Elephas maximus indicus: one gene and its partner. The protein of the gene in region 1 interacts with the protein of each later gene in a biochemical or structural test. Links are inferred from orthologs where the notes say so. Each region holds a gene or a part of one and is shown on either strand. Other genes may lie near its edges.

What was found. The genes of interacting proteins can lie anywhere in the genome.
Region 2: the proteins of YWHAQ (region 1) and BAD form a complex in vitro, tested with the Homo sapiens proteins (2 studies listed by BioGRID). The link is inferred for Elephas maximus indicus from reciprocal best matches to the Homo sapiens genes YWHAQ and BAD.

The regions. Positions count from the first base shown.
Region 1 is NC_064830.1:19,016,730-19,024,637, forward strand, and holds the start of YWHAQ (14-3-3 protein theta), read right to left. Parts: upstream 3,023-7,908; 5' UTR 2,913-3,022; intron 2,361-2,912; 5' UTR 2,234-2,360; coding exon 1,940-2,233; intron 1-1,939. UniProt on the Homo sapiens protein: Adapter protein implicated in the regulation of a large spectrum of both general and specialized signaling pathways. Binds to a large number of partners, usually by recognition of a phosphoserine or phosphothreonine motif.
Region 2 is NC_064825.1:127,465,657-127,473,215, reverse strand, and holds the start of BAD (bcl2-associated agonist of cell death), read left to right. Parts: upstream 1-4,583; 5' UTR 4,584-4,597; intron 4,598-4,690; exon of another isoform or gene 4,691-4,781; intron 4,782-5,045; 5' UTR 5,046-5,053; coding exon 5,054-5,240; intron 5,241-7,559. Other genes in the region: integral membrane protein GPR137, read right to left, coding at 169-328, 581-699, 838-966, 1,076-1,225, 1,362-1,587, 2,378-2,427, 2,517-2,888, 4,506-4,583. UniProt on the Homo sapiens protein: Promotes cell death. Successfully competes for the binding to Bcl-X(L), Bcl-2 and Bcl-W, thereby affecting the level of heterodimerization of these proteins with BAX. Can reverse the death repressor activity of Bcl-X(L), but not that of Bcl-2.

The DNA.
Region 1 (7,908 bases):
TATGCCTCGGTCTCAGGTTAATCAAGCTAAACTCTTCTATACTCTATTGGTATAAAAACTGCCCTACTTTCAGGGGCTCTCTTGTACTGAAATGATGTGTATGAAAGGACTACTCTTCCAAGCCTCATACCAACCAAGCAAACTCTTTCACTTGTCAAAGGTAGCGTGAATCTCTTCCACTTATGCTATCATAGAAACCGAACTTTATATGAGCCACAAAATAAAACAAATATTCCTTTGATTCAGAGTTAACTTGCAAGAGAGCAGGAAAAACCTTGTGCCAATCCTGAATTGCTAAGGCAAACTGCAAAACAATAATTAAACAAATAACTGTGAGAGCACCCTAAAGGAATATACAGAACACCTTGTCCTTAGTATATGGAGTTCTTATCAGTCTTCCCCCTCAATAAACAGTCAATACCATCACCAAATACTATTGAAGCCTACCATCACTTTCAAGTTGGCAAGTTTCTTGAACACAGGCCAATTTAGATCACAAAGCTTTTCGAAGCGCCTTCTCTATGCGAAGCAGGGACTAGAAGCTAAGAACACATAGATAAATATAATACAGTGTCTCACCCTCATAAAGCAAATAATCTCAATAACGTGTTGCCTTCTTTAGTACACACCCAGAAAGCCCCTTTACCGGCTATCTCTATCAGCCACAGTTTTGTTTAGACTGTTATATGTATTACAAAAACAGGTAAGTTAAACCACACACACGCACGCAGGCACACACACACACACGCACGCACACACGCCCTGCCACACCAGTCTGATCCCAAGAAAGGAGAAACGTTCGGCAAAGAAAGGGGCAATTTCCCCATTCCTCCTTTAAAAAATCACCAGCTTACTGGCTCATCTTTCAAAGCCCAACTAAAATACAATTTGGAACAAACTCGTCAAAAATCAGTATGCCTCTTTTAAAGTGGCACTTAACCAAAAAAAAAAAAAAAATTAAGGCAACCTATGTCAGAGATTCTATATTTTACCAGTAGAAACAACTCTTTGCATCATCAGAAACATTTAAAAATACACCAGGAAATAATGCTAGTATTTAAATTAAAAAACTTAATCTTATCGATTAAAAATAACAAGAGTCTGTCCAGGCAATGACAAAGCTAAAAATGTCATCTATCACTAATAAGGGTGAATCACAGCAGTCACCTCCTCCACCCAATAGCCACCTTTGCTAAGACTGAACAGCTTAAAACCTAGAAAGCTTTCCTTGCCTACTTCAAGCCAGAAATGAATTCACTTCAAATACTAAAGTTTAAATATAGCTATGCAATAGCAGGAAACTATTAGGAAATAATAAATTTACCAGGACATTTTGTTCTTTAGACTTAGTTCTGCCTTCTTCACAATTTAGCGCGCCCCCACCCCCGTTTTTAACGAGAAGCCTAACAAATACTCTTAACTGAAAAATGAATCATGCCTTTGGATTTTCAAGATAAATTTCTATTACTAGAGTATAGGAGGAGACGTTACTACACATTGTCTTATCAAAAAGGTGACTGCATCTTCTTTTAACTCTGAAGCATGTGAACTGATTCAATATTTAAAGGGTTCACTGATGTCCTCTGTAAGCCGTTTCCCAGGACAAGACGCTTCAGCCCTGCACATGTACAAACCTACTGGGACATTTGAATCCATATTGTGTAGTAGCAGCCTAGAACTGGGGAAAGATTCACTCATTGCTGGAAAATCAACTTGAGTCTCAAGAACTTAAATTGAATAAAAAAGGCAAGGATAATAACCTTCTCAGAGCCTCTACATTGGCGAACAATTAGGCAAGCCCTCGCCCCCCTTTTTTCCCCATTCCCATGAAATTCTCAATGAAAGGCATTACACAAAAGGGCCTCGGCGCTCCAGACACCCGATTCTGACGCCCCCACCACCCATTCTCCCACCACCGAGACCACCAGTCCAGACTCACCAGGACGGTGGTGCAGATGGATCTCAGTTCAGACTCCACTTTCTCCCGATAGTCCTTAATCAGCTGCAACTTCTTGTCGGAGGTGTCGGTTTTCTGCTCGATGCTCGAGATGACCCTCCAGGCGGACCTGCGGCCCCCGACGACGTTCTTGTAGGCCACCGAGAGCAGGTTGCGCTCCTCGTTGGACAGCTCGGCCCCCTGCTCCGTCACCGCCTTCATGCAGGTGGCCATGTCGTCGTAGCGCTCAGCCTGCTCGGCCAGCTTCGCCTTCTGGATCAACTCCGTCTTCTCCATGGTGGACAGGCGGCGTGCGGGGCTCGGGTGGCGGCGGCGCTCCGGGAGGGGACGGGGAGAAGAGACAGGCAGAGACAGCGAGGGCGGCGAGAACCAACCCGGATCAGGAAGAGCCCTCCTCGAAAGCCTGCGGGAGGGGCGGCGTGGGGAGCGCCGAGAGTGGCGAGATAGGAGCCGAGAACAAAAAGGAGGGGGAGGAGAGCGCGCACCGTCAGACAATGCGGCCCACACCCCGCCCAGCCCGCAGGCCGGCCCCGCCGCCCCGGGCCGCCCGCCCGCCCGCCTGCCTTTTGTCTCGGCGGCCGCGGCGGAATTGAATTTCCCTCTCCCCCCCGCCCACGCTCACCCGCCTAGGCACCCCGGGAGAGGCCGGCGGGGCGGGGTCGGCGGGGCGGCCGGGGGCTGAAAGGCCAAGGCCGAAGGCCAGGGAGGCGGAGGCGGCGCCCACGCGGCCAGCCAGCGGCCCGGCGGCGCGCGGGAAGCGGGAGGAAGGGCCACCCCCGCCCAGCCCGGGAAGCCCAAAATGGAAGCGGTCGTCAGCCCTGCATTTTCCCCGCCGATCGCTGCCTCTGAGGAGACTGGCGTCGAGAGCCAGCCGTGGCCGAGGGCTGCGCCTCCCACCCTGCCCTGGAGCCCAGGAAGGCCGGAGGAGGGGCGGGGGAGCGATCCCGGCGCTCACCTTTACCGTCTCCGCTACCGCGACGCGAGTCCCACCACTTTGATGTGCTTTTTAGCTTTAGCGAAGGACCCTCCCGTCTCAGCCTACCCCGGAGCCGAAGGGCGGGCAGCGGCGCGACAGCCCTCGCGCCCGCCGCCCAATGATACGCCGCTCTTCCCCCAAGAGTCCCACCTCCTACTCCGTTACCAACCAATGAGGACTAAGCGCGCGGAAGGGGGCGAGGGAGGGGGTGGGGTGGGAGGGGAAGCGGAGGACAGGAGGGTGGGTCGCATTTGGCAAAGTTCGGTTGGCCGGTAGGCTGCGGCTTCGGCCACGGGGTTTCCTCCAATTAGATCCAGGGTAAAAGGACGTCACTGTTGCCATGGTGATGCTGTTACCAACTCCCCTCATCCTCCCCGCCACCCCCGGCGCTTCTGGGTGCGGCACGAGACCGAGAGGCTCGCAAGACCTCTCCCGCGGTGGCAGAGTCTCTTTCTGCAGCAGCCACTGCAGATGGTGCATTGCATCTTGTTGCCTAATGCAGCTGCAGCGCTGGTCGGTCCTGACTGAGGCTGGGCTTCGGAGGGTGACAGAATGGGCCCTCTCGCTGCACAAGCGCCTTTCTTTCCTCCACCTTCCTATTCGTGACAAAGGTTTGGAGCTCAATATACTAAACCCAGCCTTTAATGACGTTGCGATTAGGGCAGCAAATTAGAAACAATCTCATCCCCATTAGAGAAGATTTAGTTCCTGGAGAAAGTGGCTTAAGTGTGGCTTTTACCTGATAAATTCAAGTTTTCCGACGGGTACCTAAAAACTAAAATTCCCCTGCATAAAGGTAGATCCAAGGAGGTCTAAGCAGACTTATCTGACAATGCTAGTTAGCATGATTTAAAAAAGAAAAAAAAAATGACATTAAGGACCATTTGGAGCAAAACACCCAGAACCTGCTCCCCACATCACAAGCAACTAATTTTAAATTTCCACCTTTTCTATATTTAATGCATTTAAATACATTTTCTTTTCACATCACTATTTTATGTGTAACATGGTTTTTATTTTCTGGCGTTATTTTTGAGATGACACTTGAAAAGCCAAAATTCTCTCAAGACGTTGTCTTCTGTTTTTCTCCTCATGGTGAAACCCTTCTGAAGTGAAAACGATTGCCCCAGATGCCTTGTTTTCAGGGTGGCGCCTAACATCTTCTTGTTCCTTGCCTAGCCTCCACCAGCTACTTCTTTCTCTGCTGGCATTTCCCCAGCCCCTCAAGTCCAAGTTAGGTCTTCTAGGTCTGGGAAGGGGCTTGGTGCCATCTTGGGATGTAAATTGCCATCTGGGCACACAATGTTATGATTCCAGTTCCAGCAAGGGAGAATGGATCATTGAAAGCCAAGGAGTGCCACAGCCAAGTAAGAATTTGAAATTCCAAGTGGAGACTGAGAGCAAATCTGGAGAATCTCTAGAATGGAAGACCTGAGAGTGCAAACAGATGGGAGGAGAGGATTCGGACTTTCCAGAAATTTAAACTCTCTCCCAGCTGCCCCTCCCAGTCCTGACTTCTAAAGGTTGCTTTGTATCTTGACAGACAGGAGAGGCCTGATTTGGAAAAGGCCTGTGTCTTAATACAGAAATGCCTTACTATGTTCCAGCTTTCTAATGGAGGGCCCTGCTGTTATTTCTGGAATCCCTGGGGCTGGGCTGTAGACACACGAGTGTTTATGGCCATGTGGGCTGGGGTGGAGCCGGACACGGAGAAATCCCAATGGAAAGAATTTGCATGTAGAAGGTCAGATAAAATGCTTTCTGTATAACCAGTGCATTTCAAGTTTACTGGAATTAGAAACAGCAAGGGCAGAAGCCAGTGGAGGTGGTGGTGGTGGGGAGACACTGGAGGGGAATCGTCAGGGGACTGAACATCAGTGGTAGGGAGAGAGGGGTCACCCAGAAGGGGCGAGCACACTAAATTCTTTGTCAGAAAGCCTGGGTTGTACTGCCATCTCGCTGGGTGACCTTGGGCAAGTTTTTGCTGCTCGCTGTACCTCAGCTTCTAGAAAATTCCTACTTTCATTCAATCATCAAATATTTGTTGAGCATCTGCTTCACATGGTGACAATCATCTGGAATCATGGTGAAAACTTCTTCGAAAATTTGGCGCACTGTGGAATTGTAAAGTATTTTATGAGGGTCCAGAGGGATAAGTCTGTATACCTAAAGACCTCTGCACCCAAAAGAGCTCAAGTTGGAGAAAAATAAGACTCTGAGAGCTTGAATTCCCTGGACACATAAAGTACTAACATTTATTTTAAGTCTCTTATAAGCATTGTAGGTATTGACTCGACGGCACTGGGTTTTGTGTTTTGTAAGCATTAACTCATTTAGTCTGCTTAATACCTCTATGAAGTAGGTATTACTATGATGAGTGTCTCTATTATCTCCATTGAGGCACAGGAAGGTTTAAATATTATGCTCAGTGTCACACAGCCAGTGAGTGGTAGAGCCTGAATTTGGACCCAGGCTCTCTGAGCTCTGATGGCACAGTGGTTAAGAGCTACTATGATCTCCAAGGAAATAAGTGAGCTACGGTTGCTAACCAAAAGGTTTGCAGTTTGAATCCATCAGCCACTTCTTGGAAACCCTATGGGGCAGATCTACTCTGTCTTACAGGGCCACTATGAGTCAGAATCAACTCAACGTCAATTGGGTTGGTTTTTTTCTGGTTTATGCCATGGCTGCCTCACCAAGTTTCCCCAGATCTTTGCTAGGTGCTGTGGGGGCTTCTAGGAAGGATCAGACAAGTCTGTTCTCTAGAAGTTTCATTCTAATAAATACGAAATATGTTAAATATCCACATCCAACGTGCTGAGAACCCTCAGGAACAAACAGCTAACAAAGTACTGAGAAGTCATTGCCTTATTTATTTGATGTTCTTGTTATTTTTTTCTAAATGACCTGGTGAGAAGAAACTGATGGGACAGGGGGAAGCACACTGGACCTGAAACCAGGAAATCCTAAATCCCACTCCACTGTTCATTTGCAGTTTGACCTTGGACACCTTATTATCCTTTCTTAAACTTGGTGTCCTAACCTGTGATAAAACCCATTGCCATTGAGTCGATTCTGATTCATAGTGACCCTATAGGACAGAGTAGAACTGCCCCATAGGGTTTCCAAGGAGCGGCTGGTTGATTCGCACTGCGGACCTTTTAGTAAGCAGCCAAATTCTTAACCACTGTGCCATAAGGGCTAAAAGTACATTTTCACCTCCCATGTGGGAGACCCAGCTTCGATTCCCAGCCAATGCATTTCTTGAGCAGCCACCACCCATCTCTCGGTGGAGGTCTGGTGTTGCTATGAGGCCGAACAGATTTCAGTGGAGTGGCCAGACTAAGACAGACTAGGAAGAAAGGCCTGGAGATCTACTTCCAAAAATTAGCCAGTGAAGCCCCTGTGGATCACAGTAGTCCAATCCCCAATCAATTATGTGGATGGGGTATAACCGGGCAGCATTTTATTTCTTTGTGCATGGTGTCACCGTGAGTTGGGGGCTTGACTCGGCAGCAGCTAACGATAACAGCAATAATAATCCCTACCTCAAAGGGTTGCTGTGATTAAATTTCACTTAAGAAAATGCCAGGCATATAGCAGTGGTCAGTTAACATGAGTTTTCTTTCCTTCTGCTTAGGGTGGGGACTCAGGGCAGGAGGGAGGTGCTTGTCCTGCTGCAAGGAGCCTTAGAGTCTTCCAAAATGTTAGTGAAAGCTTATCTCTTGAATCATGGTTCTAATTAGTGGAGTTAATGGTCTGCAGAATGGCTACATTCAGTGTACATTCCAGAAGGAATGAGTCCTCTGGTTGAGTTTACTCTCATCAATTGTTTCATTGGTTTATTTGCCCAGCACCATGGATCATCAGAGAGGAATCTGTTCCTCTCCTACCATATGGCAGGTATTTCACTGACAAATGTTTGAGTGGAACTTTTCACCCAAAAGGCCCGTATAATTATTATCAATACTTCTGTTTAAGGGATAAAGAGTTGCACCCCCTCCCGCCTTTAGCCAGCCCTGAGGTGCTAAATGAAGACTCACTTAGAGCCAGGGTCAGGTGGAAAAAGCCAGCCTGGTCAGGAAAACATCTTCCTACACATTCCCTGGCTTAGGGCCAGGGTTAGGCCTAAAGCATTATCCTTCCATCAGCAACTGCAGCCGGCAAGGTTTATTCCTGCCATCTGCAGGCTCCCCAGTCAGTGCACTTAATTGCTTCATCTCTGACATCTCCTGGGCACCCCTAAGCCACACACTGTTTTCAAACTCTCTTTCTTCCTACCTCCCTGTAAGTGCTCAGGAAAAAAATGTAATAGACTCATTCCATCACATAAAAAACTTGTAAGTATTCAAGCAATATTTCTTCTGCCATTATTTGCATTTTAAGATGAAAGACAGCTCTTAAGTCTGAAGAATAAAACTTTAATGGTAGAATGGTAGGCATTCTAAACAGCTCTCAATCAGCTGGCCACTTGGGGAAGCGCTTTAGCATTCTGACATTTATCCAGCATTTTCTGTACGCCGGGCAATCAAGTTTGTTTGTTTTTTTAAATGCTCAAATGTTTTTGTAGTGATGATAATGGTGATGACGATAATCTTAATAAGGAATGTAATACCACTCGTTATACAAAATAAAAAATCAAATGCAAAAATGTTAAACATGAAAAGAAATTAAGTGTGCAAGAGAAAGTAAACAGGGGTTGGGAGCCTACCTCTGAGAGGTTATCATTGTTTTCATTTTGGTGACTTCTAAATAATCTCTCTTCATTTGTACACATGTGGCTATATGTGTTGGGAGCCCTGGTGGTGCAGTGGTTAAAGCGCTCGACTGCTAACCAAAAAGTCGGCAGTTTGAACCCACCAACCACTCCACGGGAGAAAGACATGGCAGTCTTCTTCTGTAGAGATTTACAGCCTTGGAAACCCTATAGGGCAGTTCTGCTCTGCCCTGTAGCGTCGCTGTGAGTCAGAATTGA
Region 2 (7,559 bases), on another chromosome or scaffold:
CCCTAGGGGGTGGCACAAGCTCACTACAACAGGAGCAGCCGAAGAGCCGGCCAGGGAAGGAGGCGGCTACAGCCCCTAGGATCCTGGGCAAGAAGCAGCAAATGAACTTGACTCAGGGGCCTGAGGGGGAGGGGAACTGGGGTCTGGGCATCCTAGAAGGGTGGGGGATCACGTCTGGGGGGTAGAGTAGAGGCTGTGGTGATGGCCGCCTGGTCCCGGCACCTGGGAGAAGAGCAGAGGAGTAGTCCGCGTCTGGCTGCCCCCGCACCAGCTCGGCTCCCGCCCGATGGAGCCGTACCAGCTGCCGGAGCCTAGGCTGCCTGACATGCTGTGGGTAGAGAAACCAGGTCAGTCCCAGGGCAGTGACCAGGACCACGTTCACAAGAGGTGGGAGAGGGAAAAAGGCTTAGAACAGAGCATGGTGGGAGGGGCTCCCCTCCCCAGACTCTGCCCAACTGCATCTTTGGGTGGAGTAGGGGGAGATGGGAAGGAGGGGGCCTCACCTCATACTGACAAGGAAACAAAAACCTTGGGGGAGGGCCATGGCTCAGGGGGCCTGAGGCAGGGTAGGGACTCCTACCTGGTGCTCTCACCCCGGCTGTGCTCCCAGGAACAGCCCTCATCTTCACAGTGCCCAGCCCGGTCGAAGAAGTAGGATCGGGAGCCAAAGACTTGCCCGTTGAGGATGCGGCTGGTGCTCTGGGGAGGGGAAAAAGCCACCATGGATGCCTTCTCTTGGCCCCCACCAAGCTCCCTTACCACCCCCCAGCCCAGCCCAAGGGTTCCCAGCATCCACCCTTCTCCACTGGGCCCGCAGAGGAAGGTGGAGGCACTCACCAGGTCCTGTGGGGGCCGGTGCACTCGGAAGAAGCCCACCAGCAGGGTGGTGGGCAACAGCTCCCACACAAAGAGGATGAGGCCAAATACCAAGTAGCCTTTGTTCCCCAGGTCATTCACCAGGTCCGCCTAGGGGAAGGCAGGGATTCACGCCAATCTGCGTTTGTGCCAATGGGGCACTGGGACAGGGACCAGGAGCCATGGCTATTAGGAGGCAGCAGACCTGCTGAACGCCCACCTGGTCAGAGACGTTGTACCAGTCATAATCGAAGGCGTCCAGCCGGCTCCGGGGGGCCAAGGCCAGGGCTGCCAAGTTGTAACAGGCCCGGCTGGCATAGAGCAGGACCATGGCACCACCCATTGCAGCTGCCTGGCACACACTGGTCCCCTGCCACAGATAACAACGGTGACCATCAGGAAGGAGTGGATTCCAGCCTCCTTTCTATCCTGAAGGCTGCTGTCCAACAAACATGGCTGCCCAGACACCCCAAAGGACACCCAGGCATTAGAGCCTGTGGCCCTACCTTGGCCTCCAGGTAGATGCTGGTGGAAGGGGCCCGCCGGGCCACAAGGCAGAGGCAGGCAGCAAGAGAGAGTGCGCAGATGACGAAGAGGGAGTCGCTCACCAGGATGCGCACCAGGAGTAGTGCCCAGGGCTGTGCCCGGCGCCGGCGGGATAGCACAGCACACAGCACGTTCACCAGCAGAAAGAGCAGCGAGGCCCCCACGAAGGCCCCTCGGACGGCCAGCCTGCAGCCCACAGCACAGTCAGCCCAGAAGGTTGAACTTGGTGCTCACCACTCACCTAACCTCCCAAAGGAGCCCCCAGAGCCGATCAGAACCACAGATCTTTCAACCTGAACCCTGCTCCTCTAGTTTTACAGATGGGAAACTGAGGTCCAAAGAAGTCAGGCGGTAGCTGACGGCTGTGATACAGTGGAAAGAGCCTGAGACTGGGAGTCAAAAATCTGGGTCTGAGTCCTGGCTTTGCCTCCTGCCAGCTCTGTGACCTTGAACATGTTCCTTTACCTTGCTGGACCTCAGTTCTTTCATCTTTCACATATGGATAATATCAGGTTAGTTATAAAGATTAACAGTGTTTGTAAAAGCTCTTTATAAAACTGTAAAACTTTATGTAAATAACAGCGGGACCATAGGCCCATGTCACCCAGGGTGCAGTTTGGTTTCGGAGCATCCTCTGTCATGGATGACATTGGTACCCTCACCCCTCGCAGTATCGCTACTGCTTCTATTATTGTTGTTTTTCACATACGCAACGCCTCTGCTAAGCCATCTGTGCCAGGTACTTTAACTTTTCCAATGGGAATGGCACAGGATCTGGCAGTGTTTCCTTCTGTTGTGCGTGGGGTCACCATAAGCGGGGGCCACCTAGACAGCAGTTAACAACAACAACAACCTCATTCACAAACATTCCCTGGGTTGCCCTTGCCTCAGCCCTTTGAGGTAGGAAAGGATGGACACTGGGCTGCTCCCTGCCCCTGGCCTGGAGGCAGAGCTCATCAGGGCCCCAAGTACTTACAAGCCTCTACTCATTTCCGGACGACGCTTTGCCTTGGCCTTGAACACCACCTGGGTGCAGAAATGCCCATCACTCATTATGGCCCTTGGCGCTTGACACCCCCCACCAGCCCCCATCCACTACCCACTACCACGGTTACCTGGGCAAAGTAGAGATTCATTAGCGTCAGCGTGAAGAACTGCAGGCAGACAGGGCAGCAGTAGAGAAGCCAAAAGGGCAGGGGCCCCAGGCGGTTGGCTCGAGGGGTGTCTCGGAAGTAGAAGGAGAAGAGGGTGGTACGCAGCGCAGCCCAGAGCAAACAGAGTGCCAGGAACACCGTCTGGTAGCTGAGCCGCTTGTGCCCGTACAGGAGCACCAGCCAGAGCTGGGCATAGACGGAGAAGAAGAGCAGGGCATACAGGGTGGTGTAGGCGGCGGTCAGCCCCAGGGTCACGGCGGGTGGCAGCGCAGGCACCAGCCCAGCAGCAGGCACCAGGCCAGACAGGTTACTCTCCATATCAGGGAGGGAGGCCTGAATCCCGGAGAAGACAGAGATGGACGGGCTGGCCAGTGCCCAGGGAAATAAATACGGAGGGGAGGGGACTGCGGGTGGGTGCTGAGACAGAGGTAGGGAGCTCAGGGGGCAAGGCGTTGTGGCTGGCCAGGTCCTTCCCCTCACCAGAGGGATTCTCGTCTTTGCGGGGCACAGGCAGCCTGGGCCCCGGCCCCGTCACTCAGGGGCGTGAAAGGACAGCCTCTCCTCTCCAGGGTAGATGGGGGTCTCCTCCCTGGGCCACCCCAGAGCCAGGTGGATAGGTGCAGAGGCTGTAGGAGAGGGATCCCCGGCCTTGTGCTGACTCGTGCCGGTGTCAGCAGGAGGGGGAGAGCCGGCGATGCGCGTCCGCTCAGGGTATCGGCCCCTGCAGGGGGCGCCCCAAAGCCCCGCTCTCCCCCTCCTCAGGCTAGGAGGGTTCTTTCCCCTCCAACAATCCGAATGGGGGCGCCTCTGCCTTCTCTCCTCGGGATTCCGCACGCTCCTCCACCCCACCCCCCACCGCGTCTCCTCTCCAGCCGCGGGGGGCTGGTGGAGACCGCCGTCTGGTCCTCAGACCGCCGCTGGGGGAGCCGGCTCCGGTCGCCGGGACCCGGGGCTCCGGCTCCCCGGCTCCCGCTGCTCCGCCCCCTTCTGCGCCTGCGCGGGCGCCGTTCGCTACGCAAATTGCGCAGGGGCAGACCTCGGCTCCGCAGCCCCGCGCCGCGCCCGGCGTGGGGCCGTTCGAGAATTGGCGCGAGGTGCGCCGTCAGCGGGCTCCAGGGGTTACGAGAGGCGGCGGGCGGCCTAGACGCCGGAGCCGCGCCCCATTCCACTAGCGCTCGGGTGGGCCGTGGCCTGGACCACTGGCCTTTGCTGGTTTGGGGCCCATCAGCTCCCATCCTTCTCCTCTCTATGCCCAAACCCGGATCGTGTCCCCGGCGGGGGGCGGCAACGATTTCTCGTCACCTCGCCTGTGAAGGGAACTTCCGCCCATAGCCAAGATGGCCTCCGGGTCTGCCTCCCTTCCCCCCCGACTCCGCGGGTCTTAAACCGCTGGACCCCGGAGCCCCCGCTGGGCAGCCAGCCCCAAGAACTGGCCCGCCGCGGTGATGCCCGCTCACCTGGCCGGCCGCCTGCATGCTGCCTGCCAGGGGCGAAACCGTCGCGAGTACTATGGGTCACCCTCACAGGGGTCCCTGCGCCTTCTCTGCGCCCCGGGCAGTCATCCGGCCAGGGTGGAGGCTCCCTCTCTTATCTCGGATGCTCCAGAGATGGCGCGGGGAGTGGTGCCCTGTTGCGGGCGGCATGGTTTCCACGGCGCGGTTCCCACGCTAGGGAAGAGGACGGAGTGGGACTTGCCGACCCCATCACCCCTCCAGAACCGTAACAACAGCAAGTCATTGCATCCGACTTCTGACTGTCAACTGCGACTTTGCAAAGTGCTTTCAGCCACAGTAATCACCACTCTGTTTACAAAGTTTTCACTGGCTCCGGAGGGAGGTGTCATTATCCCCATTTTACAGGGGTGGAAACTAAGCCCCGGAGGGGCTGAAGGGCTTATCAGCAGAAACGAGTCTCCAGGCTCCAAATGGAGGCCCCCAGAGAATCCCTCACCGGCTTCCACACACGCCCAAGGCGTGAGGATGTCGGGAGCTGAACATCCGGAGAAGAAGAAGGGACGCAGGAGATCATCGGGCGGGCTGCAGGTTGGGCGGTGGGGCGGGGCCGGTATAGAGTGGGCCCGCCTCCTGTCCAGCCCGAGTGACATTTCACGAGTTGATTGGGCCAGGCCGGTGACAGTTCCCGTTGCCCAAGCAACTAGGGCAGGGCGCCCTCAGTACTGGAGGGAGACGGCAGGCCCGGGTCAGGGGCCTCGAGATCGGGCTTGGGGTGAGACCTGTGTGCGGTCATCCCAGGAGAGACGGCCTGGGTGGGGGTCTGGGGCTGCCCTACAGCACCAGTGCTCCAAGGGAAGATTTAGGTCCCAGCTGGACAGGCTGAGCACCCGGCAGAGCCAGACTGGGCAGACAGATGAGTCTGGGAGGCAGGCGGGCTCTAGGGGCAGAGAGTGAGCCAGGGACGTCTCTGCTGTACCCCCACAGGTTCCCGTTTGCTCCGGCTGTGCCCTAACCACCCACCATCTTGCCCCCACAGCCCAGAGTATGTTCCAGATCCCAGAGTTTGAGCAGAGTGACCGGGAAGACTCCACCCCTGCAGACAGGGCCCTGGGCCCCAGCCCCGAAGGGTACTGGCCTTCAGGCCCCAGCGACCGCCACCGTGTGGCCCCAGGCTTCCTGCGGGACGCCAGTCACCAGCAGGGGCAGCCGACCAGCAGCGGCCACCTTGGAGGTAGGAACCCCCTAATATCACCTCCTGCCCAGTAGCTCTCTGCACCCCAGCCACATACATGCTTACTGGCTGGCTTTGGGTGAGTCTATAACCTCTCTAAGCTTCAGGTTCCTTTTCTGTAAATAAAGCAATGAATCACATCACTATTGTAGGGTTTTCGGGGCAATTAGTAGCAATATATAGGAAGCACTTTGTCATAGTGTTGGCACATCGGAGATGCTCCAAAAAACGTAGCTGTTGTTGTAGGGCCAGGACAGAAATCACTGAGGAGCAGGCAGAGAGCAAGAAAGGGGAAGTGACTTGACTAAGGTCATGCTTGAGGTACCTTTGGTAGGAGGCAGGGGTGGAAGGCTCCTTGGTGGCCTGTCCAGGCTACATCCTGCCGTAGGCTACCTGCTTACCCTAGGACTGAGCTATTTTTGCACAGTTGCTGGGGCAGGTTACCTGAAGTGGCAGACAGTCCTCCCAGGCAGTGGCCATGTAGGGGGTGGTGTGGGAAGTTGCTGGAAAGAGCTGTCTACTCTCCAGCACAGGCTATTGGTTGCCCTTCCCACCTACTCAGGCCCAGCCCGGATGGAAGGACGTTGGCGGGCAGTGGCCATTTGTCTATAGTCTTCACGTGCCTGGTGCCTGGGACGGGCCTTGGCACCTGAGACAGTTACAGAGACCTTCTGAAAACACACACCAGACCATGTCGCTTACCCACCGAAGCTTATATAACTCCCATTTTCTTCAGGAACAGGAAGGCCTGGGTGGCCTCCCCTCCCTCTTTCCTGCACACTCTGTCCTGTCAGGCTGAATTGCAGAGGATCCTCAAGCAGCTTTTTCTGCTCTCAGCTGTTTCCACACCCAACCTGGCTCTTCCTACCCCTCCTTTGGGCTCCCTCATCGTTCTCTTCCTCCACTTATTGAGTACTTAGTAGGAGACCCTGGGTGGTGCAAACGGTTAAGCACTTGACTACTAGCTGAAAGGTTGGTGATTCGAACCCACCCAGAGGCACTGAAAAGACCCGCCTGGCCGTCTGCTTCTGAAAGATCGCAGCCTTAAAACCCTACGGAGCAGTTCTACTCCGACATACATGGGTTCACCATGAGTGGGAATCAACTGGAAGGCGAATAACAACACGTACCCACCCCTCCTTGGGACCCCCTCAGTGTTCTCTTCCTCCTTTTATCAGGTCCCACGTGTTGTCCCCGTTTCTAGGGGCACATCAGTGACTAAAAACCCGTTGCCATCAACTCGATTCTGATTCTTAGCGACCCTACAGGACAAAATAGAACTGCCCCACAGGGTTTCCAAGACTGTAAATCTTTACAGAAGCAAACTGCCACATCTTTCTCCCTTGGAGTGGCTGGTGGGTTCGAACTGCCAACCTTTTGGTTAGCAGCCCAGTCCTTAACCACTGCGCCACCAGGACTCCTTCATCAGTGACCACAGAGATGAAAATTTTGCCCTTGTGGAGCTTACATTCTAGTGGGGTTGGAGAGACAGGCCATAAACAAACAAGCAGACAGGGAAATGCTATAATGTCTGGGAAGATAATGTGTGCTTGGGAGAGGGGCGTGTATGCAAACAGAGTCAGGTGAGTCCTGAGGACTGGCCATGGGATTTTAACTGAGATGCCAGGGTCAGGGTCAGCCTTGGTAAGAAGCAACATTTGAGCAAAACCTTGAAGGGGATATGGGTGAGCCACACAAGTGTCTGTGGGAAGAGAGTACCAGGCAGAGGGAATAGCATATGCAAAGTCCCGTAGGCAAGTCGTGGTCCAGGCTAGTGAGGCCGGAGAGGAGAAAGAAGGTACAGGGGAGAATAGTTGAGATGCCATCAGAGTTAATGAGGGGGACAGGTGGCCTGGGCAGGGCCTCGAAGGCCATTGTAAGGGCTGTGGCGTATACTCTGAAAAGAAACAGTAGAGAGCTGAGAGCAGAGGGGACTTGGTCAGGTTTGCTGAGTGCCTGGGGCCACAATGTTGAGACTGGTCTGTAATGGGCAAAGCAGAAGCGGAGGCCAGAGGGGAGGCTGTTGCGGGACGCCAGTCACCAGCAGAGGCAGCCGACCAGCAGCGGCCACCTTGGAGGTAGGAACCCCCTAAGATCACCGCCTGCCCAGTAGCTCTCTGCACCCCAGCCACATACATGCTTACTGGCTGGCTTTGGGTGAGTCTATAACCTCTCTGAGCCTCAGGTTTCTCTTCTGTAAATAAAGCAAGAGAAGATGGTGACTTGGGCCAGGGAGGTGGCAGTGGAGGTGGTGAGAAGGAGCTGGATTGATTGTGAAGGTGGGGCTGTCAGGACTTGCTGAGAGACGAATAGAAAGAG